Tamandua tetradactyla: one gene and its partners. The protein of the gene in region 4 interacts with the protein of the main gene of each other region in a biochemical or structural test. Links are inferred from orthologs where the notes say so. Each region holds a gene or a part of one and is shown on either strand. Other genes may lie near its edges.

Region 1 (6,883 bases), on a different chromosome or scaffold from region 4:
AACGAGATGGAGAGATGGTGCTCTGTTCTGGGATGGGGGCAGATGGTTCCCCAAGGCCGACAGCCCCTTGGGTAAATTATTATCTAGGTAGACCCTGCCATGCCTGGTGGATTCATCATGGATATACTGGACCTTCATCCCTCTGTGTTCCATGCTTCCATCTGAGACTCCTTTATGAGCCTGAGTCTCAACAGATCAGAGGAATCCAGAATTCTGGACCACTCAAGAGGCAAAGACTAGTAGTTCTAGATTCCTCTGGCTGGCTGTCCCAGGTTGTTGAACAGTCAAGAATCAGTGGTATTGACTACCTCTGGGGGAGGAACTTAACAGTTCTCAAACAGCAACAGGGAACAAGAGTTTGTAGGTCTGAATTGACCTAAAACTCAAGGAACTGTTGTTTCTAGACTCAACCAAATCATGTGTTCTCCAGCACCCAAGGAGAGAAGGCTATGGAATGCCCCAAGTAGTCAAGACTGTCTTGAGTGATGAGAGACAATGACTGAATATCTGGACTGTAAGTCAAGACCTGTGGTTCCAGAAAGCCCAAGAGATGAGATTCTGTGAGTCTAGCTTGATCAGAGAGGGAAGCACTGGTGATTCACAACCAGGTTTGACCTAGAGAGTCAAACCACTCCAGAAATTCAAGAGTTATGTTTCTAAAATGCACAAAGCAATGGAGAGTCTGTGGGTCTGGAAGTACTGAAATGATAGATTGGCAGTTTTTGATATTAGTTAAACTCCAAACCACTGACTGGCCAACATCCAACCAAAAGGATAATCACTGCTTCGGAATGACTCAGAGTTTGTTTTTAAAGTATCATTCTAGATTGCCCAAAGGAATGTGGATTCTGCAGGTCCTATTGATCACACAGTCAAGGAAGGAGTGGTGATTTTGATATACTGGTTCTGGTTTGCCCAGTGGTATTGAGAATCTCAATGATTCTAGATTGTTAACTGATAGAGCAAACTTCTTTGTGGTTCTGTAATGCCAAAAGGAATCGAGGCTTCAGGGATCTGGAGTTGCCCATTACCAGAGGCCTAGAAATTCTGATCACCTCCAGATGGAGTGCTTGGTAGTTCTTGGAGGTGGGCCCAGGAATTGCTAAGCAGAATTTCTGGGCTGTCCAAGAAGATGAGAGCCCAGGTGAAACCTTGTAGGTAGCAGGGCTGATTAACGAGTAAGGGAAGGGGGAGACACAAGGCTGTTGAGTCTAGAAAGCTCTGGAAACCTACACCTAGTGATGTATATCTATTTCTTAAAGATGTTATACATATATGTATTATATATATATATGATATATATTTCCCCTCATTCCTACAACAAGGTTAGAAATTGAGCATGAGCTAATTGGAACCGAGTCCTTACAAGGATCTGGGAGGCTTTGCTGTAAATCTCAACTTAGCACCAACTTACTGTGTGACCTAGGGCAAATAACTCCCCTCCACATCAGTTTCCCCATCTGTAAAACAGGGCATTGAAACTTGACATTCTCCAAGGACCCTTCCAGCAGGATGGCTTCTCATCTTACTGAAGGTTGTGGTGGGGGTGAGAGTCTCCCCAGCCCTGGAACGCTGAGATGGGAGATACTCATGGAGACTGGCTCTGAACTTGGTATCTAAGTCACAGGGCAGACGGCAGGCGAGGGGTATGATGTGGGCTGTGGTCCAGGGCCAAAATCAACACTTCCCCGGTCCAGCTTGCTGGGTGGGGAGGGGCTGGGGAAGGAGAAAGGGGTAGCTCTGATGCCAGCGCTCTTCCCACTGTGGGGGAAGCCTGTGTTTTAGGGGGAGATCTGTCCCTCAGATTAAAGAACTGGGAGACTTGGTGGGTGTGTCTGTGAATGTTTCCGGGGCACGGGTCCTCAGGCTTGCCCTTCTGCCCATGTTCCCATCTACCTGAGTGCCCCGGAGGCTTGGAGCCAGCCACAGAGGGAGCCAGGGCCAGTGAGAAGGGCACCTCGCACCCCTGTGTCCCAGGACTGAAGACAGGCACTGTCATTGCCTGTCAGCCTGCTTACGTGTTGCCTCAACCCAGGCCCCAACTTCTGGCCTCCCCAACCCCCTCTCATCCTTCGGTAATAACCGGATGGGATTAATTAGTGGGCTGCTCTCTCCCAGCCCAGCGTGTCTGAGGTAGGGAGGGGCACAACGGAAACACAGAGGTGGGCAAGGGTATTAAGATGGTAGTGAAGGGAGGGGGTGTGTCTGTTGGGAAAGAGAGAAGGGGGCAGGGCTGGTACGACCGGGGTCTCCACTGGGGGTGTGGGGGGGCAAGGTCTGAGCCTCTCAGAAAGGTCAGCGAAGGGATTAAGAGGCTCCGTGTCTAATCCGACAGCTTAACCAAGCCCTGGCCCTGAATCCGACCCCACTTGCCCAGCCCAGGGGCGACCAATGAGGGCGATGCTCAGACAGCACCTCAGCCCCAGTTCAGCAGGGCTCAGCTTCCCCACCGGGCCCGGACGTTGCACCGGCTTTCCCAGCAAGGTATGGGAAGGAGAGGCTGGGGAAGGGAGGTGGAACCGTCTCAGAGGAAGGAAAGGACTCGGAGGGAGGAAGGATGCTGAGAAAAGGGGTGTTTTCTTACGGGGGAGGATGCTAAGGGGAAGGGTTTGGAGGAGGATGCTAAACTGGGGGGGGAGGAGTTTAAGAGGACGCATGGAGCATTGAGGGGAGGGGAGAGGGGGAGAGCCTGAGGAGCAGAAGGGGCCAGGAAGGCGCAGCCTGTAGCCTCCTATTGTCTCAGTCTCCAGGACAGATCCCCAATAGCAGAGCATTTAGGAGAAAGAGCTGATGACTACGCAGGAGGGCGTAAAATAAATAAATAAATAAAGAGGGTGTGGAAAGAGGAGGGGCCTGAGAGGAGAAAGGCCATAAGGAAGGTGAGCCAAGCGGCACCCGGTTGCATGGCAACCGCTGAGGTCAAAAGCAAGCCTAGTCTGCTAGGAGGTGTGGCTCAAAGGAACAACCGACAGCTGTGGCCCCACCCCTTGGCAACAGACCTAACAAAAGTACCACCCCAACCACCCCCCCACCAACAATTCATTACTAGAGGCGGGGCATGGTTGAACAAGTCTTGTGTCCAGAGCCCGAGCGCAGGCGCACTTCTCTAGGTTCCCGCACATTACCACCTCCATGCAACTCATTTCCAAGGCTTCTCATTGGTGGGCACTCCTGCAAAGAGCATTCTTTTGCTCCGGAGGCGGGGCCTGGCGCCCTGACCGCGCTCCGATTGGCCCCACCGACCGTCTACCCCCAGCCCGACATTCCTATCTCAGCTCCTCATGCGCCCATTGGTGCTGGAGGACGGTCCTTCGGTGTCGGGGGCGGGGCAAACGAGAGGCCACGCCGTGGATTGGACAGTGTCAAAACGAGGGGCGGTCCCTACCGGCGGGGCGGTTGGGAGGCGAAGGGAGAGTCTTTTCAGCGCTGAGGACTGGCGCTGAGGAGGCGGCGGTGGCTCCCGGGGCGTTTGAGCGGGCTCACCCGAGCCCGCGGGCCAACGAGGATCCCGGTCCGACCGGCGGCACCGCCCCGGACTCCCCGCGGGCCTTCCTAGCCGCCATGGAGGACGGTGTCTATGGTAGGTCGGGGAGGGGCGGGGCCGGCCGGGAGCGGATGGGGCGTCTGGTCCCAAGCGTTCCGCGGCGGGTGTCCCCCACAGCCCCCGTCCGGCGTGCGCCGCCCCAACTGCGCGGCCCCGTCGTCGCCCCGCTTTTGTGGAGTGCGGGACGGGCTTCCGGCGAAGCCCGAGAGCGAAGCCTTCCAGGCCATTGTTTGGGCTGAGCCTGTTTCCGGTGGCGGCGGGAGGGGGCGGGATGGAGCGGGGAGGCGAGGCCGGTCGAGCCCGGTGCCTGCCGGGAGCGGGGCGGGGAGGAACCTTCGGGGCTTCGCAGGGCCCGCGGAGGCGGGGGCGGGGACCCCCAATGCCCCGCCCCCCGGTCCCAACCCCTACAGCCTGTCACCAGCTGGCCCCGCCTTAGCTATTCCCATGGACCCGGGAGTCCGGCTGCCCGGCCCCATCTTCGCTCAGGACCGGAGAGCCCGGGCCCCCGCCACTTCGCCAGTAATGGAGTCAGAAAACCAAGGCCTCAGCCCCCTCCCAAGTAATGGACCTGGAAGTTCGGGCTCCCGGTCCCCCTCTCTCTCAGACCCAGGAGCCCGGAGTCCTCTCCTTCCCCAGCACTTCCTTCCCTAGATGGAAGAACTCAGCCTCCAGCCCCTTCCTCCTTCAGACACCAGGCATCCCAGCCTCCCAGCCTGCCTTTCCTCAGACACAGGAGTCAGCACCCTCATTCGTATTCTCCCCCAGGACCTAGGGAGTCCTGCCTGCCCCGAGCTCCATCCTTCCCCCAGATTGTAAGAATCCAGGTCCTGGAGCCCCGAGACCTGATCTCTGCCCTTGACTTCTGCCTGTAGAACCCCCAGACCTGACTCCAGAGGAACGGATGGAGCTGGAGAACATCCGACGGCGGAAGCAGGAGCTGTTGGTGGAGATCCAGCGCCTGCGGGAAGAGCTTAGCGAAGCCATGAGCGAGGTGGAGGGTCTGGAGGCCAATGAGGGCAGGTGAGGGCTGGGACTGGGGCTGTGGGGGCCTGGGCTAGAACTGCCCAGGTACTGACCCGCCACCCCCTACCCTCTGCCCCTGCAGTAAGACCTTGCAGCGGAACCGGAAGATGGCAATGGGCAGGAAGAAGTTCAATATGGACCCTAAGAAGGTGCTTTGGGACCTTGGGAGCTGGGATCCATTTGGGGGTTCTGGCACCAGCCTGTGGAAGTGTGATGGTTACAGACAGGTTTACTGTGGGTGGTTACACACTGGATCCTAATCCCTGGATTCACGTATTCATTTGTTCGTTTGTTTATTCTGTAAACCGTAACCAAATGGTCCAGCCTCCTTGCCTTTGCTTGGGTTGTATCCCTGCCTATAAGGGCCTTTTCTCCTTTCTATTCATATTTCTGAACCCACTTTTGGTATCACCTTAGATCCTGAGAGGAGCTTGAGTCTGGTAGGGAACATGGACAGGACCATGCACAAAGGGTTAACCAGTACTGTGACAGAGGGAAGTACCAGAGCTGCAGACACAAGAAGGGAGCCTGGTAGAGTTAGGGAGGGCTTCCCTGAGGAAGTGACATTCCAGGCAGTTTTGACTGATGGTTAAATGTTCGTGGGGTGAAGGAAGAATGTTGCTTCAGTCCATCATTCATTCAGCACCCATATCTCAAGGCCTCCTATGGGCTGTCTCTGCCCTAGGCGGTGTCAGAGATCTCCCCAGTTGTTAGACTCTGCCTGACCCTCAGGAAGCTCTTGACACAGCACCCACACCCAGAGCAGTGGATCACGAGAATGGAGATCCTCATGGTGCAGGAAGGGCCAGAGAAGCCCCAGCCCAGCCTGGGGCCTGGCCTTCAGAACCCTTAACTGTCTGCTAGCAGTTTTCCCTTTATTATTCTTGCCGAAAACAATTGTAGTTTGTCCCAGTCATTCAAGAAGCATGTATTGGGTATCTGGTTTTTTCGCTTGGCCCTGGTTTTAGTGCTGGAATTAACCAGCAAAGGCAGAGGGAATAGCAGATGCAAAGGCCACGAGGGCAGGGAGGTGATGGAAGGACTGGGAGGAGCCTGAAGGGGAAACCTGGCCCTTCCCTGTTTGGGGGAGGGGGAAGGGGTTCCTGGGGGTGTTAACAATGGGCAGGTGGGCTCCACCACCACCAGGGTGGTCTAGCCCCAGCCCTGAGACCCAGCTCCTACCTTTCAGGGCATCCAGTTCTTGGTGGAGAATGAACTTCTGCAGAATACACCCGAGGAGATCGCCCGCTTCTTGTACAAAGGCGAGGGACTGAACAAGACGGCCATTGGGGACTACCTGGGGGAGAGGTGAGAGCACCTGCGGGTCCTCCCTGTCCCCCATGCCCCCAGCTCCTGCCCTCATGCAGTCAAACTAGGGTTCTCAGCCCATGACCCTGCCATGAGCATGTGCTGAGCACTGCCCCCACCCCCAGCCCCCTGGTGCCAGGTCTGCAATGGGGGCCGGGCAGACACTGCCCACACTGTTTGGAAGCAGCCACTATCTCCCAGGGCTTTGCTTCAGGTCTCCTCCCACACCAACCTCCCCAAACTCCTTTCTGTTTGTAAATCTGTCCCTGTCCTCCTAGGGAAGAGCTGAACCTGGCGGTGCTCCACGCCTTTGTGGATCTGCATGAATTCACCGACCTCAATCTGGTACAAGCCCTTAGGTGAGGGCGAGGGGTTGGGAGGGCAGGTGTGCATCTATTGGGACTTTCTGAGTTGCAAATTAATTACTCATGTAATGACTACTTAAGGTGCTCAGAGGGTCAGGAAGTTAACTTTAGCTCCTGGTTATGCTTCCCACTGTGTTGGCACTGCTCTCTGCAGACCCTCCTCCCACATGAAAACAGAAGTTTCTAGCAACCATTAGACCTACAGAGCAACCTCAGCAGAAAAATAGAAGCAGTTGCTATATAAGTCCTTCAAAATTCTCAGAGGTGGTGCTCATTAGTCAGATAATCACATATCTATCCTTGAAACAACTGTTGAGTCCAGGAGAGATTTGGAGTTCTTATTGGCCAGTTCCAAACACAGGTACTGACCGTGGGGGAGGGGGTCCTGCCAGCCCGCCATCCATACCCGGCCCCTCCTCTTACAGGCAGTTTCTATGGAGCTTCCGCCTCCCTGGAGAGGCCCAGAAAATCGACCGGATGATGGAGGCCTTCGCCCAGAGATACTGCCTGTGCAACCCTGGGGTTTTCCAGTCCACAGGTGGGAGCCCGGGCTCCAGGGTCTGAGGGAGGAAGGGCTGGGGGCCTGGCTCCTCCCCTAACTGGGTCAGAGAGGAGGGGCTGGGGGCCTGGCTCCTCCCCTAAC
Region 2 (6,951 bases), on a different chromosome or scaffold from region 4:
TATCCTTCACCATCTCACCTCCTCCAGGAAGCCCACCAGGACTGCTCCAGCCCATGGCTCCCACTCTCTAAACATGTGAAGCCTACACAGCATCAACCACTGGACTCAAACTGAAATCTTACTGTGTGGACATGCCTGGCCACCTGGCCACATTGCCTCAGCCTCCATTCCAGTGTGTGCCAACGGCTTCTTGCTGCAAGGGCCAGCAACACCCTCCAGAGGGCTCAGCCCGCCACAGGACAAGCTGGGAGGGCTGGGAAGTTAGGCCCCCAGGGCAGCTCTCCGCACCATGGAGGGATGCAGGGAGGCTGCTGGCGAAGCTGCCTGCAAGGCACGGCCTCAACTTGTCCTCAGCCGCTGGGGAGGGTGCACTGTGATGGTGTGGCGGGCGGCGGGTTTGCAACACGTGACCTCTGCCGGAGGACCCAAGACCGCCAATCCCCGCCCAGTCCCGGCCTCGGAGTTCCCTCCATGATGCATCGTCGCTCCACCAGTCCTGCTGCCGCTCCAGCACTCTCGGGTTTTGGTGGGCTGTGTGGTGTGACTGCCCGGGTGGCCGTGCACAGGTGCTTAGTTTTACTCTTAGCCAGGCCAGCTGCCTGCAAAGTTTCCTCCACCTACACCCACTGTCTCATTACTTGATGCCTGAGAAAAGCCAGAAGGTGCAAAGGGAAGCCCGAGCTTTGCTTCAAGCTTGTTAACTGGGGTGATGGATGTCAGTTGATGAAGCATTTTTCTCCTCTGTATTCTATGGTGATGCTAAAACCTCACCTACATACTCAGCCATCCAAGTTTATCTCCTATTTTCTTACAAGAGAATCCAGCCCCCCCCCCAATTACTGCTATTTATTCATGAGGTCTGTCGGCATTGGGAGAAGTAGAAGAAAAAATGGCATTCATTTATGTGAGTGTTATTTCTGCAGTGGAAGAGTTCGGCAGTGCTTCTTGTGAAGAAGTGGATGGCTGTCTTGTCATTCTGGTGTGTGGGGTTCAGGACCTTGGGAAGTCAACATCTTACAGATATCTGTTCAGCCTGTTGTTAGACAGCATTTCCTGTGTTGACTATATGGACTGTGACCTTGGGCAGACAGAATTTACCCTACTGGTTGCATTTTTCCACTTAATGTTACAGAACCAATTCTGGGACCCTTTCACCCACCAGAGAACACCACAGAACATGGTATATTTTAGGAAACCTGCTTGTAAAGAAAACTCTGAAAATTATATTGATAACATAAAATATGTGTTCAGCTCTTAAAAGAATCTCCTCTAATCATCAACATCGTGGATAGGTGACAGACAATGGGCTTTCACTCCTCATTGATCTCATTTAATTGCTGTCTCCCAGCCATGTCATTCAGTTCAGTTCTGCCCAGAGCAGACACATGCCCAGCCTCATCCCCAGCTATGTGGATGACATTGACACTTGTACACAGAAAGCAAGTGCAAAGTCAGAAATAGAGTTTCCAGCTTCCAGAAGCAGAAAACTTTGAATTTGCTAATGAAGAAGAAGAGAGTCCAGTTGTGTTTACTGGATACAAACTGATGTGTGTTGAATCAGGGTTTGCATTTAGAAAAACTCCATGAAACAGAGAATTACATGACAGAGTTCTTCTTGACTTGGCAGTACTGGGGTTCCTTGGCCAGCTGCAGCCCCCAAATTCAAGATCAGGATATCCTTTCCATGGTCTGACACCATGTCAGGTCCCTTTCAGTGCCGTGGTGCTCCAGGTCAGCCACGCCGATGTTGCTCCTGCCCCATCAAGCACACTGTAACCGCCCGCCAGTTGGGCCTGCATAGGATAGGGGACCACATTGGAGGCTATGCACATGCTCCCGTCTTGACAGACGCCTCTCTATGACTATAGGCTTTGGAACATGTGGAGGGATTGACATGGAGAAGAGACTTCACCACATCCTCACCCCCATGCCCCAGAAGTGCTGAGAGATGCGAACTGCCTGCTGGTCGGGGCCACTTCCAGTCTCCAGTGTGTCTTCAGGGGCCAGAAAAGGCCTGAAAGGATGATACCTGACATCACAACAGATTATAATTATTCACTTCCTGGAGCAAGAGAGAAAATTGGAGTGAGAGAGCCTGAGCAAATACATGAAGAGAGAAAACATTCAAAACCTAAAAATTTCTATAGAAAAATAAACTGATACTGATGCTTTTAATAAGGGAAGAAATATGTCTGCCAGAAAGCTTGATTTACTTTTCTCAAACCTAACATCAGCCGAATTGATGGTTTTTATAGAAAGGAATGGTGTACTTATCCAGCAAACAGGATTTTCTGTACAATTCACAAATATGTTTAATGTACATATTTTAAAATTTCTTTCATCTTCAGGCTACATGATCTAGAATTTTACTGTAGTCTTCTATATTGTTAACCATACTTGCTGTTTTATTTTCTGAAGAGAAAAAGCAGCAGGGAAAAAATTATACACCATTAAAATGGGAAGGAATATGGTTGATTCTTCAAAAAGTTCTTCAAGGATCTTGTAGTTAGAATCAGGAGAAAAATAGAGAAATTGAAGCTGCAAAAATGTACCAGGGAGGAAGGCAGGATGAAGCAAAAGCTTAAGAACATGGATTTACAAAATAATGTTAAGTGAAAGAAGCCATCATGAAAAAGAACACATGGCACAATTCCATTTATATGAAGTTCTAGAACAACACAAACTCTAAGATATGGGGTCTTGTGCTGGTTGCCCCTGCAGGGTGATTAATGAAAGGGTTCTATAATTCATTGTGGTGATGGTTACATGGGAATACGCATTTGTCAAAACTCATGTAGCTGAACATTTTACTTATCTGTAAATTATACTTCAATAAACATGTTACTTGATCACTTCAAAAGTTACATAGATTAATGAAGAAAATGCAGACAAAACAAGAAACCAAAGATTAAAAACAAAGCTAAAAATAACTTGCAATTACGCTGTCCCATCCCCAGATAATAATTTTAAATAGTTGTCTCTCAATAGGCATACTTTCACATGTCTGGGCTCCGACCATTCATACTACTTTGTAGCCTACTTGAAAAACCCATATTATACATTATGCTTGCTGCATCCCTTCCAGCTACCAATCCAGAACCACTCCCTGTCTTTCCCCACATTAGACTGTCCCAGTGGGCTCCCATGTCCTGTGACTTTCTGTTGGGGTCAGCCAATAGGATGCCCAGCAGGAGATCAGAGGGTGGGAGGAAAGAGAGAGGCCAGCACATTTACTCTCCTGGTTTTGCCCTGCTAGGTCACCTTGGGCTGGCTGTGGACCTCAACCAATGAGCACATCTCTGAGGCGCCCACCCTCTCCCTCCCCTAGCCTCTGGAACCTGGAGAGACTAACATTTTGCTGCCCCATGTGCACAATTCCTTGCAGCTTCCTTAAGCCCACTCACACCTTTATACAACGCGGCCTTGAATTATCCTAATTTGAGCGAGCCATCGGTTTCCCGTTCAGATTCTGACATGCACTAAGTACATCTTTCCACGTCAGCCATTTTTAAATGGCTGGTATTCCTGGCGAACCTCTATTGCTCTAACTACTACCCTCTTGTTGGGCCTTTTCCCCTGGAATAAACTATTCAATGGCTCAGTTCTGATCTGCACAACAGTCTTTGAAACCAGCCTTGTGGCATCCGGCTGGAGGTTGGAGTTTATCAGCTGCTGAGTGAAAGGAAACATGAAACGATGCCCAGACGTAGAACACCTGAGTCCCGGCCCGGGTCCAGGGCTCGGTCCAGCGCAGGCCACTTCCCAGTCTCCCCATGCCCGCCTGTCAGACTCGGAACCTGCCCAGGGCCAGCGCTAGGCCCACGCCCGCGGGGTAGATGCGCGTCGCCATGGGGACCGGCAGAGACTTCCGGCATCGTTGGCACCGAGGCGGAAGTCCCGCCTCCGGCCGGCCCGCCTCCGGTGTTCCGTGAAGCCTTGCGAAGCGCAACGTAGCCGGAAGCGGGTGGCGGCCGGGTGGGCAAGAGGCGCGCGGCGTCGGTGCAGCTCCGCGGCACGGCGCGACCTCCACCCGGCTCGACCTTCACCCGGCCCGAGCCCGCAGGGATCGATCCGGTGGTGCGGTCCACCCGCCTGGTAAGCGCGTGCCTCAGACCGCCGACCCCTTGCCCACGGGGACCCCCTCGCATCCTCCCCCTTCCCGAGCCCCCGCCCCGCGCTCGCCCCGGGTCTGCCTCCTTCTGGCTCTGAGGCTGCGGGCCCCTCCGGCCCCCTACCTCCCGGCCTGTTGCCTACGGGGACTCCCTCCTCCGACCCTCCCGCGGACGCTTTCTGCCAGGCCGCCCCCACCCGGGTCCCTATCCCCACCGCTCGGCACGCCTCCGGCCTTCCACACACACCCTCCCCGAGCTTGCTTCCCCTCCAGGGTCTGATGTCTTCCGCTAGTTCCGGGGACCCCTGCCCACCCCCACCCCCTCCGTGGAGTGAGAACCGGTGGGCCGGGTCTGCCCCTTTCTTGGTTCCTGGGGACCCCGGACCTGGCCTGGACACGGAATCCAGTCGGGCCCCATCTCAAGTCCTCAATGGGCTGGTTGCTGGTCAAGCCAAGAAGTAAGGTACCAAGAAGGCCACTTTAATCAGGAATGGCCGCTTCAGCTTGGTGTCTGTGATGTTCTCCTCCTTACCCTCTCATGTGGGTGATCACCTTGGGGGAGGAAGAAGAATCTGAGGTGTTTATTTTTTTTTAGTTTCTGTGGGTTTGAAGTAACTATGCTTCGTGAATCTTGAGTTAAACAGTTTAAGGACAGACTCCTGATTCTGCTCATTTAATGCAGACCTAACATTCCTTGCCACGCTGTTTATTGTGGCATTGAGAATGGGGCTCTAATAATGTGCCAGAGGATATGTACCTCTTAGCTTTCTGTGACTATATCCCAGGCAGTTCAGAAATAATCTGTTCCTTAGAATGAGAAAGATCTGTTGTTCTTAGACATTGAGACTTTGAGTGTATCAGAACATATTTTTACATTCTTGGTTTTAAGTGTTAAAATGAGTTCTTAGATTATATTTCAGGATAAACTCATGTTTAGATTTAGAAAGTTAGGCAGATTTTATTTCCATGTTATTAAAGTTAATTCAGAAGAAAGCTAAAAGGCTCTGAAATATCAAAGTTTGGTCACATAGAAGAGCTCCTTTTAAATCAACCAGTAGTTCTTCTCTGCCTTGTAAACACAACTGGAAATTCAGAGCATTTTTCACCATGGGTTTGACTGTTCTGAAAACCACTTGCTTGCCTGAAGGCAAAGACTGGTGCTTTGGAAAGAGCGCTGGTCTCATACTGGAGCCCTGGGCTGGTCCAGTCTATGCAGCCACCTCATCTTGATGGGTCCTGGTTTCTCTGTGGGCACGTGGGCCTCCAGCCCCGGATGGCCCCACAAGGGCTCCTGGGTGGCTGTGGGAGACAAGGGTACATGGGGGCTCCTCTCCCACTGTGCTTGCCCGTTTGCACCTTTGGTGCTGTACGTGAGTAGCTGCTCAGTGTGGCGATGGCACTGTGTGAGACTCGGGCCCAGTGGTGCAGCTGGCAGGCATCACGGTGCCTTTGAATGTCTGTCCTCACTGTCCTCACGCACTTCTGAGCTCAGTAGACCATCAGAACAACATGGAGAGGGGCAAGGTGGAGAGGAGCCCTGAGGAAACTTTTGATTTTGTTTTGGTCAATTATGGAAAACAAGTGTTTAATCCTAAATTCAAATAGTTTGAGTGTACGCTAATGGACATCAAGGGCCGAGAGTGTCCAGATTTGTAAGGTTTGGTCGTGTGCAGCAGTCTGATTCCCGTGAGTCAGTGCCCCCATTCTGACAACTAAGAGTAGAAAGGAAACACAGGATGGCGAGTCTTCTGTGTTTTCAAGCTGTGCCTCCACATAACGCTCCAACTATACACTGTTAATAGAAAAGCCAGCTGCCAACAGTCATCTTGAGTGTAAGAGTGAAGCAGCAAGGAGACGACATGGAGGCATCCTCTGCAGCGCATGTGTGCAAGGTCTCCATCACCTGGATGCGCTCACAGAGTGTGTGCTGCATGCAGCATGAGTCAGAGGGAGCAGGCCACAGGTTCCACACTCAGACAAGAGGCGTCCATGCAGCTTCAGGCTGGTAGGGTCTAGGAGCCTCACCCAGGTCCCTGTCTCCTGCTCAGATCTTCTCCAGCCGGGTCAGCCATGGCTTACGCAGGATTTGGGCAGTTAGCTTACACCCGGCACACTGCACCCCCTCTCCCTTCTTTCTGGCTTTAAATCTGTCATTTTTCTGATTTTCCTGCTCACGAATTCAAATGGGACACAAGTTGAAGTTAACTTTCCTAAAACTCTTAGGTCTGTGAAGAGATAAATAGCTCTTCTTCTCAGCCTGAACTGTGTTGCGGTCCTCTGAGTCTCTCTGAGCTGATGGCAGTCTGGTGATGTCCAGGCTCCCTGCCTTGCCCTTCTGTGCTGGCTGCTCAGCCGCCATCTCCATCTCTCAGGAGAAAGGTGACCCCACAGAGGACCAACCTGCCGTGCTTCCAGCACACCTGGCCTCTCACACCTGGCGCACGACACTGGCATAGCCATGGCACAGCCAGGAAGTCTCAGTGCTGTGGGGGGAGATGTAGACTGCACAGGGACTTCCATTGATTTGAAGGGTTTCAGGCCAGGTCTCTATGCAACCCGTTTAGGCATGAAATCCAGTTTAGCGGTCAATCTGCATTTTTTTTAAATGCAGTTTTATTGAGATATATTCACACACCACACAAAGCATCTGAAGTTTATGTTCACTGGCTCATGGTATCATCACATAGTTGTATATACAACCCCATAATCAATTACTGGGAAACTTTACCACTGAAAAGATAGTTTTTTATAAATTGTGCAGTCATAGTATATGATACTTAAGCAAAATAAACATCAGCAGTTGCATTTCATTCTTAATAATTGCATTGCCCCCTGGCCTG
Region 3 (7,284 bases), on a different chromosome or scaffold from region 4:
GCACACAGAAAGATGGTCAACATTATTATCATCAGAGAAATGTAAATACAACCACAATGACAAAGCACTTCACATCTATTAGAATAGCTAACAATTGAAAAGACTGACAATATCAAGTGTCAGTGATGCTGTAGAGCAACTGGAACTTTCATACCTTATTATGGAAGTATAAAATGAAACAATCGAAAAGCTTTGAGAGCAGCACACACAGAAGCTAAGGGAAGACAAAGAAGTTCAGAAAGAAAGCCAAAGACAATGCAGCCAGAAACTAAAAACAAAAGAAACCCAAGACAAAAGAACCAGCACATGCCACATGTGAATCCCATGATCACCAGCTTGTCTTAAGGAAGAAGGGATCATCTTGAGGATACCTTGATTTGAACATTTTCACAGCCTGAAAACGGTTAGCTTGTAAACTATTTAATCCACATTGTTAAAAGTCAGCCCATTAAAAAAAAAATTTAAAAAAGTCAGCCCATTTCTGGTCTACTGCATTTCAGAAACTATAGCTAACTAAAAACAGATATCAACACACAAATATCAGCAGTGTTTCCATACATTATAATGAGCAATCTGAGGAGGAAATCAAGAAAAAATTTCCATTAACAATAGCAGTTAAAAGAATCAGATATCTAGGAATAAATTTAACAAAGGATGTAAAGGACCTATAAAACATTGCTCAAGGAAGACCTAAATAAATGGAAGGACATTCCGTGTTCATGGATTGGAAGACTAAATATTGTGAAGAAGTCAATTCTACCCAAACTGATTTACAAATTCAACACAATCTCAATCAAAATTCCAAAACCCAACTTTGCAGAAATGGAAAAGCCAATCATCAAATTTATTTGGAAGGACAAGGGGCCCCAAATAGGCAAAAACATCTTGAGAAGGAAGAACAAAGTTGGAGGACTCATACTTTCTGACTTTAAAGCATATTACAAAGCTACAGTGGTCAAAACAGCATAAAGATAGATATATTGATACCACCATAAAGATAGATATATTGATCAATGGAATCAAATTGAGAGTTCAGAGATAGATCCTCACATCTATGGTCAATTGATTTTTTAGAAGGCTGCCAAATCCACTCAACTGGGACAAATGGTCTATTCAACAAATGGTGCTGGGAGAACTGGATATCCATATTCAAAAGAGTGAAAAAGGATCCCTATCTGACACCTTATAAAAAAAAGTAACTCAAAACGGATTAAAAAAAGCCTAAATAAAAGAACTAGGACATAAAACTCCTAGAAGAAATTGTAGGGAAACATCCTCAAGAGCTTGTGGTAGGAGGTGGTTTCTTAGACTTTACACTCAAAGCACAATCAACAAAAGAAGAAATAGACAAATTGGGCCTCCTCAAAATTAAATACTTTTGTGCTTAAAGGACTTCATCAAGAAAATGAAAAGGCAGCCTACTCAATGGGAAAAAATATTTTGAAATCATATATGTGATATGGGTTTAATAGCTAGAATATATAAAGAAATCCCACCATTCAACAACAAAAAGACAAACATCCCAATTTAAAAAGGGGCAAAAGACTCGTATAGAAAATTTTTCGAAGAGGAACTACAAATGGCTATAAAGCACATGAAAAGATGTTTAATTCACTAGCTATTAGTGAAATGCAAATCAAAATCACAGTGAGATATCAACTATAATGGCCACTATCAAAAACACAGAAAAACACAAGTGTTGGAGAGGATGTGAAGAAATAGGAACACTCATTCACTGCTGGTGAGGATGTTAAATGGTGCAACTGTGGAAGATAGTTTGGCAGTTCCTCAGGAAGCTAAATGTAGAATTGCCAAATAATCTGGAGAGTCTGCTACTTAGGTATATCCTCAAAAGAACTGAAAGCAGAAGAACTAAAACAGACATGTGCACACCTATTTTCACAGCGGTATTATTCATAATTGCCAAAAGATGAAAAGAGCCTGTCCATCACCTGATGAAAAATAAAATGTGGTATATATGTACAATGGAATATTAATCAGCTGTAAGAAGGAATGAAGTCCTGATGCATGAAACAACATGGATGAAGCTTAAAGACATTCTTTTGAGTGAAATAAGCCAGACACAAAAGGACAAATATTGTATGATCTTACTAATATGAACTAATTAAAATGAACCAACTCTAGGAGTTAAAATCTAGAGTATAGGTTACCAGGAGATAGAATTATGGATAGAGATTGGGGAGCCAATGCTTAATTTGTATAGAATTTTTAATAAGGTTGATTGTAAATATTTGGAAATAGATAAAGGAGATGCTGGCACATTACCATGAGTGTAATTAACAGCGCTGAATTATGAGTGTGTTCACAGTCGAAAGGGGAAGTTTAGGATTGTGTATGTCACGAGAAGGAAAGCTAGAGAAAAACCATGGGACTATATAACATACTGAATCGTGTTGTAGACAATGACTGTGGTTAGTTGTACAAATGTAAGAATGGACTCACATGAATTAGAAACAAATGTACTTCACTATTATAAGGTGTTAATAATAGGGTGGTATCTGGGAAAAATACAACTAATTAAAACTATAGACTAGAATTATGTTCTTTCATAAATTGTAGCAAAGGTACTATACCAATAAAAAGTGTCAAAAATGGTGGGGGAGTTATAAGAGGTATGGGATTTTTCATTCTGGAGCAATCAGAATGTTCTTTAATTGATTGTGGTGATGAAGGCACAGCTCTGTGATTACACTGAGTCATTAATTGTACACTTTGGATGAATTGTATGGTGTGTGAATAAAACTGTCTTAAACATTGGGCAACAGTGGCTCAGTGACAGAGTTCTCGCCTGCCATGCCAGAGACCTGGGTTCGATTCCCAGTGCCTGCCCATGTAAAAAAAAAAAAAAAAACTGTTTTAAATATTTTTTTAAATGATAAAGGCTAAAAGTCAGGAGAACATCATCTTTAAAGTACTGAAAAGGAAAAAACTGTCAAACCACAAACCTATGCCCAATGAAAATATCCTATAGTGAACGAAATAAAGATATATTCATAAAAATAAAATTCAAGACAATTTATTACCAGCAAATCTGCCCAACAAAGAAAAAATTTTTGATCAAATTCTTCAGACTAAAGAGAAATGAGACAAATGAGAACTCAGATTTCAGGAAGAAGTGCAATTCCTCAGAAACACGGTAATAATAAAAGATACATTTTCCTCTTCTACTTTTCTAAATACCTGTGACTGTTTACAGCAAAAAAAAAAGTGCATTTAGTAGTTTGTATATATAAATGCAATAATGTAAAAACTATAGCTTGAAAGAGTGATGTTAAACTAACTCTCCAGTTCCAAGATTCTTTTGGGGGGCGGTGGGGGACCGGCCCCGCATGGTCCGGGAATTGATTGCGGATCTCCTGCATAAAAGGCGAGCATTCTACCACTGAACCATCCGTGCACCCTCCAGTGGCAAGATTCGTGCCCAAAAAACAAACAAACAAAAAAACCCACAATCATTTTGGAAAGCAGTCTGGCAGTTTCTTATACACATTACTAGGACCCAGCAACTCCACTCCTAGCTGTTTACCCAAGAGAAATAAAAATGCAAATTGATACAAAAACTTGTAAAGAAGCTTTATTCATAATTGCCAAAACCAAAATCTAAATATCCTTCAAAAAGAGAGAAAAATTCACCTATCCAATCCATCCATCCATCCATCCATCCATCCATCTAATCGTCTTTTAGGACCTGAGGATTTCCCTGCTTGCCCCCAGACTATAAATTGCAGGAGAGCAGGTTCCCTCGTACTCCGTCCCACCTGAAGCAGGTGCGCAAGTTGGGCGAATGAATGAACGCAAGCATACATTTGTAGCCACCATCCCTTCGGCCTTGTATAGTCCCCTCATTCCTTCCACCGACTTCGCTGGCTGGACTAGGCCGGACCCGGTCCGCAGCTGGCTGGGGAAGGGGACCCGGCAGACCCGCCTCGCCCGCGGGCTGAGGAGAGCCCGGCGCCCGAGCAGTGAGCAGTGTGCGCAGCGCGGAGTCCCACCCGGCGGCGGCAAGGTCCGCTGGGACGGACGACGCGGGATGGACCGACAGACTGGTGGACAGCCCCGACAGCCGGACGCACCCGGCCGAGCATCCAGCCCCACCCGGCCCAGGGCGACCCCCCGACCCAGGGCTACGCGCAGCACGGCGGGGCGGGCCGAGGGCGGCGGGGGCGGGACAGGACAGACGAGAATCCCGCGGAGGTGAGGCCGGGGACCGTCCCGCCCCCGAAGGCAGACCCTGAGCCCCGGCCCCGCCCCGGCCGCCGGGGTGGAGGCTCCGGCTCAGAGCTCCGCGCTGCTCCCCACAGCACGCCAACCCGTGCGGGCGTCGCCTTCGGCTTCCAGGGTGAGAGGACCGGGGTGGGATTGCCTTCCGAAATCTTGGGTCCCGGAAATCGGGCGGGGACCGGGATGGGCTCGGCTGCGGGGCCTCCTGACTCAGCCCCCACTCTCAGATTTCGGGGTTTCCCTCCCCGGTTGCGGGCGCGTAACTTCCTCACTCCCGCCCGGACCCCCTCTCGCAGCTGGCTGGGCCCGACTCTGGCCCCGGCGGCCCCAGGCCCCTCTCGCTACCCTAGGTCCCTCCTCCCAGCTTCTGCTCTGTCCCGTCCGGACCTGGCTGGGGGCCCCTCGGTGCCCTAGTTACGGGACAGGGGCGGGGCGGAGGGATTCGGGATGAAGGACTACGGCAGAGGATGGAAGTTAGAGGGGAGTCTGCGGAACTTTGCAGACCCTTGGGCGGTGATTACAGGTTGTGGTCTAGGTGGGTGGAGGAGAGGGCCTGTGGGAGCTGGAGATCCCTGGGTTTGGGATACTTGAGGCAGGCCACCTCCCTGATACCTCCTGGTATTCCTAGGATGATGGCGACCCCGGGGAGCCCATTCTACAGTGGGGGTGACCTGGACTCAAGCCAGTTGCAGATGGAGCCCGATGAGGTGGACACTCTGAGGGAGGGCGAGGACCCAGGTACTCAGGAATGAAGACCTTCAGGGAAAGGAGGGCCAGGGGACTGTGGCTTCCTGGGATCTGCACTCCTCTGCTTTCTTTCCTCCTAGCTGACCGGATGCACCCCTTTCTGGCCATCTATGACCTTCAGCCTCTGAAAATGCACCCCTTGGTGTTTGCCTCTGGAGTCCCTGTCACAGCCCAGGTGGTGGGCACTGAAAGATACACCAGTGGCTCCAAGGTGCCTGGGCTGGTACCAGGGTGGTGGGTAGAGGGAGGGGTGGCCAGAGTGGAGGGCTGGGACCTGACCAGGGCCGGTCGACCCTGTTCCTCACTCCCCCAGGTGGGAACCTGCACTCTATATTCTGTCCGTTTGACTCATGGAAACTTCACCTGGACAACCAAAAAGAAGTTTCGCCATTTCCAGGAGCTGCACCGGGACCTCCTGCGACACAAAGTCTTGATGAGTCTGCTCCCTCTGGCTCGGTGAGAGGGAAGGAGCTGTTTCCTGTGAAGGGCAGGTGCCCCTCACTCTGGCAGCATGGACTACCCCAGCCCTCTTCTCTCCTTTCTTCCTCTTTCACCCCCAGATGCTTTCCTTCCCCTTAACTCTGGCCACTGGTCCCCCTCCGCTAACGTTGATGGCTGGGAAAACTTCCCTGCCCAGCTCTCCATGGTTCTGTGCCAGTATCTCAACTGGGCTGGATGCCCGAAATGCCCTTGGCAGCTTCCCCCCTTCCCTTGTCTCCATTCCCGGGGCAGGGTGGGGGTTGGGGGTGTGCTCCCTTCTGCCAGTCTCTAGGCCTCTTGCCCTCCCCAAAGGTCCCACCTTCAATACTCCAGAGATCCAGGCACCCAGCCTCCCAACTCTTACCTGTCCCTCCCCCATCTCTTCCACAGCTTTGCCGTTGCCTATTCTCCAGCCCGAGAGGCAGCCAACAGGGAGATGCCCTCTTTACCCCGAGTGGGTCCCGAGGGTTCCACCAGACATGCAGCTAGCAAGCAGGTGCGAATGGACACCAGGGCCTCTGGGAAGGTTTGGCATATAAATGGCTCTGGGCCCATCTGTCTTTCTCTCTCCCCTCATCCCCACTCCAGAAATACCTGGAGAATTATCTCAACTGCCTCCTGGCCATGTCTTTCTACCGCAACTACCATGCTATGGTAAGGTTCAAGAGCTGGATGCTTGGGTCCTTTGAGAAGGAGCAGTATAATCAGACCTCCAAGGGAGCAGAGGGCCAGAGTTGCTTGGGGCTGAGAGACTGAAAGTTTGGGGTCTCTTCTCTGAGCCTTTGTTTCCCTCTGCAGACGGAGTTCCTAGAAGTCAGTCAGCTCTCCTTTATTCCAGATCTTGGCTCCAAAGGCCTGTGAGTGTCTGATACCCTTCACCCGGCCATCTGCAAGATCTCTTTAGATCTCTCCCTGACTTGCGAATGGAAAAGACAGTGCGGGACGGGCTGAGGTTCTGGATTCCTCATCAAGCATCTCTTCCTGATTTTCCCCACAGGGAGGGGGTGATCCGGAAGCGCTCAGGGGGCCACCGGGTCCCTGGCCTCACTTGCTGTGGCCGAGACCAAGTTTGTTATCGCTGGTCCAAGAGGTGAGAGCTAGGGTAGAGCAGCCGGGCAGGGTGGGGGGTGGGGGTGAGGAGGGAGATCCTGAAGGCAGGGAGGAACGGTTGGAGCCCTTCCGCTCCAGGTGGCTGGTGGTGAAGGACTCCTTCCTGCTGTACATGTGCCTCGAGACCGGCGCCATCTCGTTTGTTCAACTCTTTGACCCTGGCTTCGAGGTGCAGGTGGGGAAGAGGAGCACAGAGGCACGGTATGGGGTCCGGATCGACACCTCCCACAGGTAAGACTTTTCTGAGGAGAGGAGAGCCAGCCCTAGGGCCCCGAGGGCTGATGAGGGGGAGAGACCTTGAAAAAAGAGGAAGGAATTTCCATCCTCCTTGATCTGGCCATGATTTTGAAACAGGCTGCTTAGCCCAGCTGGATGCCTGGGGCTGCTCTTCGAGTCTGGGGCTAGAGAAAGGGGGTTGAAAATAAGGAGCCCAGGGGAAGGGCTCTTGATATAAAAGAAAAGGAATTCCATTCATTCTGTTATTCTTCATTCAGCAAACCTGAGTGCCTGGTACAGCACCAGGTGCTGGGAACCCAGCTGCAAATGAGGCAAATATATGCCCTGTCACTGTAGAGGTGTGAGTTAGGGATTCAGGGAGCAAGTGGGAAAGAGGTGCTAGCCCCGCTGGGATGGTCTGTGTTGTGGCTGTGGTGTGGTCTCTGGTGTGGAGGGGGAGGACTGGTGGTCCAGCTCTCTGTTCTCTGT
Region 4 (7,166 bases):
CTGTGGCTTCTCCGGATGTCCAAATGCAGCAGCAGCCTGTCTGCTGAGGTCCCCAACCTCCCCTCTGTGGCTTCTCTGTCAAGAGCCAGAGCCGGGAGACCCCAGCCAGGGACCACTCCAGCAGTCCAGTGAAGCCTGGGGACCCTTTTACTTTTATTTACTTACCCCTGAGCTTTTATTAATGCATAAAATAAATACCCTTTATTACAAAAACAAAAAAACAAAAAAACCCAGTACAGTTAGCAAAAGCTTTAAGCTTTGTGGTATAATAACTTTTGGGGGTGACAGATTTTTCAATATCTTGATGGAGGTGTGTTCACACAGATCAAAACTTATCAAATTGTACTCTCTAACTATGTACCGGCTTATTGTCTTACAATTATATCTCGGCAAAGCGGTAACAAAACAGAAAGAAAAACTAAAGCCTTGTGGAGAAAGGGGGGAAATCTGATCTAGTAATAAAGTCTTTGTCACTGACACCTTCAATAAGGAGAGCTGGCAACAGGCTGACAGCCTCCTTAATTTCAGCTTAGTGAAGAGCATAAACAATATTTTGAGATTCTTGCAACAGCTCTAATGTGACATGAAAATACCTGAGGTTTCTACCCGTTGCAAATCACAGGTCCTGCTTACCCTCCTGTTTTTGTGTGGTGCCTCCATTGGAAGTGGGAGGAAATGCCAAATGTCAGCCAGAGGTTAGTGAAAGAACGATGTGCTCTTCCCCACTCAAGTTCGTGGTCCCTGAGCTGCCTCGGGAGTGGCCAAAAATGGAGCAGACACAAGTCCTTGCCACCTGCAGTGGGCATTCCAGGGAAAAGCAGCGACAAAGCAGAAGAGAGGCATGTGGAGACCCCTGCAGACACCATCAAGGACGCCACCTTGCCTGGTGAAGGCCCACTGCAGGAGTCTGCAGGGGTTCTACCCTGGAACAGCATCCCAGGCAGAGGGAACAGCAAATGCAAAGGCCCAGAGGCAGGAGAGGCCCTGGCCTGTTCCTGGGAATTGAAAGGGGTCCATGAGCTGGACCAGGAGTGAGGAGACCATGGGTTGCACTGGGCATTCACCTTGGAGCCCTAGGGATGAACATAAGGGCAGGCCAGAGTGACCCTGGCTTTGGGGTCTGGTCCCAAGCACTTTCCCTGATGGGGGAATCGAGACAGGAGCAGACTTGTTTGTTAGGGGGAATCAGGTGATGCTAAAAGGGACTGGAGGTGAGAGTGGTCCCCTGAATCAGTTCTCTCCCATCTCCTGGAACTGGACAGTGGTCCTCATGAGCCTTTTAGCTACTGTGTTCTCCGTAGGGAAACCCATCTCCTCTCATGACCCAAGCTCCCCACATGGCACAAGCCAGTGAGGGTACAGGCAGGGCTGGCCCCAGGACCCAGGAAGGACAGGGCCATCTTGGAGTGGGTTGGAGACATGGTGTGGGTGTCGGGCTCTTGGAAAAGACTGAAGTCCAGCTCGCCAGTCATTTGGCCCCCTACTCCAGCCCCCATCTCCTCCTGACTCCCCAGAAGGAGGCAGAGTGGGCAGATGACCACTGGCTGGTTACCTTGGACAGCAGTGAGCAGTTCAAGTAGTTTCAGCCTGCAGCAGCACTGAAGTCAATGACCTCTGAGCTCCCCCTTCCAGAGGCTGTCGGGGTGGAGGGCAGTGGAAAGGGCAAAGGTGGGGGCTGCACAAGACTAGGGGTCATGTTGAAGGGTGGGGCTAAATATTAACCGTGTGACCTTGGGTGTGTTTCCTGACCTCCCTGAGCCTGGATCCACACACAAGAGCTTGCATGGCGAGCTTGCAGGACTTATGTCCATCCCTAGGTTAGGGCTAGGGTCCTTTAGTATAGATAGGATCACCTCCTCTTCCCACCTCCCTCCAGCTAACCTGGCCCACCAGCTTGGTGTCACTGCATGGGGAAGCCACTCTTCCGTTCAGGCCGGTTCTGTCTTGTCCTTCCAGCCCACCTTTCCCAGGACATTTTCCTGTTTGACCCTGGTCATTCGAGCATCCCCGAGGGGAAGAGTCCAATCCTGGGTCCCAGCAAGTCCCTGGCCAGTGGTTGGGTTGAAGATGAAGACCGGAGCTGGGGGATTCCCAGCCTCATGGTGGAATGTGGGGTTTGCCCTCCACCTCCAAGCCTCACCCTCCTGTCATCTCACATGGCCCCAGCTGGCCTGAGACTATGCGCCCCCTCCTGGCCTAAGCTGGGCGGGCACCCCTCTAAGGCCCACTTCCCGGGGCTTCTTTACTACCTCTCTGGCCCAAAGACACCCTTACCCTAGGGGGACAAAACTAGTAGGATAGACTCAGGAGGAATTAAATTTCTTACCCTGGGGTGGGTCCACAGGAATTCATTTTATTTTTTAAATAACTCGCTTCCTTCCTGTGTATGACAGTTTCCACACAAAAATTTTTTTTTGCCATTTTAAAGAAAGGGGAGGAGAGCCTTCGTCCACAACCAGGGTCGCTGGACCCTCCACTGTCTCCTCTCCACTCTCTTCTGTGGTTTCCTTAGCTCTAAAGGGGTTGTAATCAGAGAGGCGTCTGGTCAGGGACCTGCTCCCTGGGAGTGGGGAGTTCACATCACCAGAAGGTACTATGGCCCTCCACACCCCTCCCTGGAGACTCACATCCCTATGGGACGCTCTGCATGAGCACTGTGGGGTATCTGGGGGTGGGACAGAGACTCCTAAACGTAGCAGTGGGATGGAGGTGACTGCAGGGGGAGATGTGGGGGCAGGGGCAGAGGTGTGGCCTGAGTTTGGTTCTTAGAAATGACCAGATCTGGGGGTTACAACTGGGCTGGAGGGCAGGACGGGCAGAGGCCTGTTCACCAGCGTCGAGCGTTTGGGTTGTCTTGGTCCCAGGAGTAAGATTCTTAGTGGGGACAGGAAGGCACAGGGTCATCACTCTCTGAGGTGATCACAGCCCGGCAGGTGCAGCCTCAGGGCAGGGCTGGTGCGATGTCATCATCCCACAGTCAGTGGGTCCTGGCCCTGCCCAAGAGGAGTGGGCGTGCAATGAGTGCACAGAGGGTTGGGAAGCCTCCTGCCAGGCCCTGTGAAACCCTCAGGGCCTGGCTTTGATGCCTCTTCCAGGCAGGCCCCTGGCCTGCTGCTTGAATAGAGGTGATTGCAGCAGGGCACAAATGATGACCCCGTTTTCTGCCTCTTTGAACACTTGGGCACGGGGCTGCAAAGCTCTCCCAGTAATTTCACCAAAACCTCCGGAATGGGAGATACATCTCACAACAGCACAGGGTGGCAGGAGGAGAGAGCCCAGGCAGTACAAAAACAAGTAAGGAGCACTGGGGATAGGCGAGAGGCCCAAGTGAGTTTCCAAAGGGAGGAACAGAGCCAAGCCCTCATGCCTTGGAAACGCGGGGGAGAGCCCGCTCTCGTCCCCTCTTCCCTCTGGATCAGCCCAGGGAGGCTTCTCGGAAAAGGCTCCTCCTTTCCCCACCTTCACACATCGTGCCCTCTCCTGTCACACGGATCACAGTTCCAAGGCCACACCCCAGTAGAGGAACCCTGGCCGTCACTATTCCACGCTCGGAACCCTGTATCCCCTGACTCAGTAAATCATTTACGTTTTTATCATACTGTCAGCTCCAGGGTGCAGGCACATGTCTGTTGCGGTCACCGGCTGTACCGTGGGCACAAAGGCCGGGGAGGGGCAAGTAGGCGCCCAGTGCTGGAACCTGCGGGCGCCCTGGAAACCCCCTTTCCCGCTTGTGGCCACCTGTTGGTGGCAACGGTTTCCACAATACCCGGCCTGGCTCCACGACCGCGCGGCCTTGTCTCCGGCCCGCCACGGGCGCCCGGACCCTGAAGAGGGCGGAGAAAGAGCCGCGGCGCGGAGATGAGCCCGGAATCCCGGCTACCGGACGGCGACCGACCCGGGTCGGAGGAGGGGGCGCGCTATGGCACCTCGGCCCCGAGGTCCACATCCGTAAATGCGCCGCGCGGCCTCAGCACCGAACCTTCAAGGGAAATGCAGACGGAGCGCCCCCGGGTGTAGGTCCGCGCGGGGGGGGAGGCGGAGCACGCAGGACACGGGGCGTGGCGACGCACCCTCGACCCCGCCCCCTGAGTTACGCATGCGCGCCGCGAGCGGGGGAATGGGCGGGGCATACCATATCCCCGCCCCCAATTACCCGGCGTCACCCGCGGCACCAGGCACTGACGTGGCCGCCGTCAGAGCCGCCATCTTGTGGGAGCGAAACCAACGCCTGGCTCGGAGCAGCAGCACCAGCAACAGCAGCAGCCGCCGCGGCCGCCGAGGGGTGAGGGGCAGTGCGGCGGGAGGGCGCGCGAGCAGCTGGGCTGGCCCTGGGGCTCGTGCGTGAGTCCCTGTCCACCCGCGGCGGCGGCGGCGGCGGCGGGACGGGAGGTGGCAAGGCTGAGGCCACTGGGCGGGCGGCGCGGAGCCGGGGCTGGCGCGGAGGGCTCGTCGGGGCCTCCTGAGTCTCCCTCGCTGGCCTCACATCCTGCTAAAGGCAGCAGAGCGTCTTCGCCCGCAGCCGTAGCGGCCTCTCCCTCGCTGGTCCCGAAATCCGGAAATCCGGGCTTTCGCTCTTGGCCTCCTAGGGATGTGGGCTTTTCCTTTAAAAAGCCTTCATTTCCTGCTCCTTTCGAGCCCTCTCCACTTGCGCAGCCGAAAGGTTTGCTTTCTCCTCTGTTCAGAACTGCTCGTTCGGGCGGGAGTCACTGTCGGTAACTGGCGAAGGGAAAGGAAGCCCGAGCCGGAGCCTTTGAGTCATTTGGCTGTGGGAGGGCGGAGGAGGAAGCGGGGTACGTAGGGTTCGAAGTAGGGGGTGTCTCCCACAGGGCGGGTGAACGTTTAGTGAGCTTCCTCCAAGCACCCTCGGGTGCAAACCTCTGAAAAGGGAATTTTGCAAATCTCACTCCCAGGATCAAGAAACCGAGGCTCGGAACAGCTCCGTGACTCGGTCAAGGTCACAAATCTAGGGTTTGAACCCAGGCCTCCTGACTCCAGTTCCTGTTTGCTCTGAAAGTGGGAGTCGGATCTGGAGTTGGCCTGGGTGCTGCTGGGGGAGGGGAGGAATGGCCTGATTGGAGCTGCTTGAGGGCAGCTGCGTTCCCTTGTATTTCCTGATTGAATGCTTGGGTCTTGAAGTCTGTGGACTTCAAGAGAAACCCAGAGTTCCGTCTGAAGATATAATTCGGGTCTATGAACACTTCATAGGAACACCAAGCTTAAAGAACTGCCTTCTAAGTCTGCACTCAAGGCTACTGTGGCCTTTAGAGAACTGATTTATCCTTACTTTAATTCCAGGATTTCCTCCTTGAATGTCACTGGGAATAGATAAGACTCTTTCTTTCCAAGCTGGTGAATTTTTAACCCACATATAAAACAATTTGTTCATAGGATCTAAGCAGTCTTCCTAGCAGAGGTGACTTAATGCTTTCTTGTTGCACAATTCGGGTTGTTCTGGCATTTAGAACGTAATTTTGTTAATAAGGCTTAATTATAAAGTATTTAAACTATTAAGTAATTAATTCAAACAGCACTTCTGAGCTAGGTGGCACTCTCCCCATTTCATCAAAGGGAAAAGGAAGTTGCTGTTTAAATGAACTGAGCAGAATTGCACAAGAACTCATAGCAGGAAATGAAAGGAATTCAGAAGCTTTGGGGTAGTCTCAGAAGTTACTGTTGAGCTGTGTGGTTGGTGTCACTCCTGATGTTGAGAGTTGTCATTTGTAGTTGTGTTTTCAGAACTGGCGGTCAGCAGTTTTTTCTGCTTGCTGTTTTTATCAGAGGTTCTGATGTTTCCTGCAGTATATCTGAAGGAGTGTAAGCTACCACTCGGTCCTTCTGCCTTGATGTCTTCTAGTATTTAACAAAGTGTTACTGCATGTATGGTGTTACCAGTTAATTTGAGTTTTCAGGAATACTGCTGTAAGTAGCTAGAACTGTACGAACTTGAAACCTGTAGCATTAGCTGGGTCGAAAACTAAGAGGAATTAAATGGTTTAAATGCTCATCACAAATCTGGCCGCATTGGTAGAAGTGTATTGTCTTATTAGCATTGAGGTTTTCTGGTGACCTCACATTTGAGGGCATAGGTGGGTCTTGCCCATGAACCTGGGGTAGGGTCCCAAATCCTGGGTGTGCCGCATCATAGGGTGTTGTCTTCAGGAACGTCTCAGTCAAAATAAGTTAGTATCACCCAACCTTAGAAGTATGCTGTTTCTTGTGAGGAGTGTCTGCTGATGTTCAGGATTGCTCTTCCAAACATATTTAAAATGGGTGGTTTGGATAATGGCTGGCTTACATTCTGCCAACTGAAAGGAAGTTAGTAGAAAGCATAGAACTAGTTTTGTGGTCCTTACTGGTCTAGCTTTTAAAAATCACATGTTCTAAGTATTCACTTTACTTCTTGCAAAATATGAAGGGGGTGCTTAGACATCTTCAGCTGCTAATGTCTGTACCAGACTAATTAATGTAAGAGCAGATTGGCTTAGAAAAAGGAGGTACACCCTGGCTTTTTTGCTTTCTGTAAAATTTTTAAATGGCTCATCAGCTGTTAAGGTGCTCTCCAGAGTCAGATGGCCATAGGAGTAAGACTAATCAGGGTAAAAAGTCTGCAAGTTCATATTATAGTATGTTAATTTGATTTGAGTGCGTTTAATCCATTTCTTAGATTTTTCAAATTAATTGTTACCTTGATCTGTGTTAAAATCTGTTTTAAAATCTATGTTAAAATCACAGGTCAGGCTCCTAAAGCTTTGTTTGCACACACCTTCCTGAGGGTTGTGATCGTTTCGCTGTGGAAATGACCAGACCTCAGTATTTGGGGCTTGCCATATTATTCACTGACTGCCCCTGTTCCCACTGTCCCTAATGCAGGCATTCTCCCCTTTGACCTTTTCACTTTAGAATTATTACAAGTAGAAGGGAATAAAATGCTGATGTGTCAGAGGAAGTTGGGAGAGAAACATGAACATTCCTTTCTCTTGGGATTTTAAAATTAAATGAGAACTTACCTTTTTTGAACTGTATCTGCTCCCCATTGACATAGATGTGGCTTCCCACATCATCTGCATTCATTTTAAAAAGAAGATTTTGACCTAATGGTGAGTTGGGTGTGTAACCCTTCCTACTGGAAAGTAAAGGATGGTGAGTGTGAGGGTGGGTGGGGGGTA

Evidence for each region.
Region 1: the proteins of ARF1 (region 4) and CYTH2 are reported together in a solved structure, tested with the Homo sapiens proteins (3 studies listed by BioGRID and IntAct, with this or other methods). The link is inferred for Tamandua tetradactyla from reciprocal best matches to the Homo sapiens genes ARF1 and CYTH2.
Region 2: the proteins of ARF1 (region 4) and ARFGAP1 form a complex in vitro, tested with the Homo sapiens proteins (2 studies listed by BioGRID, with this or other methods). The link is inferred for Tamandua tetradactyla from reciprocal best matches to the Homo sapiens genes ARF1 and ARFGAP1.
Region 3: the proteins of ARF1 (region 4) and PLD2 form a complex in vitro, tested with the Homo sapiens proteins (2 studies listed by BioGRID). The link is inferred for Tamandua tetradactyla from reciprocal best matches to the Homo sapiens genes ARF1 and PLD2.

The regions. Positions count from the first base shown.
Region 1 is NC_135342.1:12,587,059-12,593,941, reverse strand, and holds the start of CYTH2 (cytohesin-2), read left to right. Parts: upstream 1-3,862; 5' UTR 3,863-3,988; coding exon 3,989-4,103; intron 4,104-4,416; coding exon 4,417-4,564; intron 4,565-4,649; coding exon 4,650-4,716; intron 4,717-5,756; coding exon 5,757-5,875; intron 5,876-6,153; coding exon 6,154-6,234; intron 6,235-6,665; coding exon 6,666-6,778; intron 6,779-6,883. UniProt on the Homo sapiens protein: Acts as a guanine-nucleotide exchange factor (GEF). Promotes guanine-nucleotide exchange on ARF1, ARF3 and ARF6. Activates ARF factors through replacement of GDP with GTP.
Region 2 is NC_135327.1:60,781,249-60,788,199, forward strand, and holds the start of ARFGAP1 (ADP-ribosylation factor GTPase-activating protein 1), read left to right. Parts: upstream 1-3,949; 5' UTR 3,950-4,095; intron 4,096-4,380; exon of another isoform or gene 4,381-4,688; intron 4,689-6,951. UniProt on the Homo sapiens protein: GTPase-activating protein (GAP) for the ADP ribosylation factor 1 (ARF1). Involved in membrane trafficking and /or vesicle transport.
Region 3 is NC_135332.1:60,581,445-60,588,728, reverse strand, and holds the start of PLD2 (phospholipase D2), read left to right. Parts: upstream 1-4,263; 5' UTR 4,264-4,360; intron 4,361-4,870; 5' UTR 4,871-4,871; coding exon 4,872-4,980; intron 4,981-5,069; coding exon 5,070-5,200; intron 5,201-5,302; coding exon 5,303-5,445; intron 5,446-5,859; coding exon 5,860-5,965; intron 5,966-6,057; coding exon 6,058-6,123; intron 6,124-6,267; coding exon 6,268-6,326; intron 6,327-6,466; coding exon 6,467-6,559; intron 6,560-6,657; coding exon 6,658-6,810; intron 6,811-7,284.
Region 4 is NC_135346.1:63,009,829-63,016,994, reverse strand, and holds the start of ARF1 (ADP-ribosylation factor 1), read left to right. Parts: upstream 1-4,150; 5' UTR 4,151-4,282; intron 4,283-4,468; exon of another isoform or gene 4,469-4,660; intron 4,661-7,166. UniProt on the Homo sapiens protein: Small GTPase involved in protein trafficking between different compartments. Modulates vesicle budding and uncoating within the Golgi complex. In its GTP-bound form, triggers the recruitment of coatomer proteins to the Golgi membrane.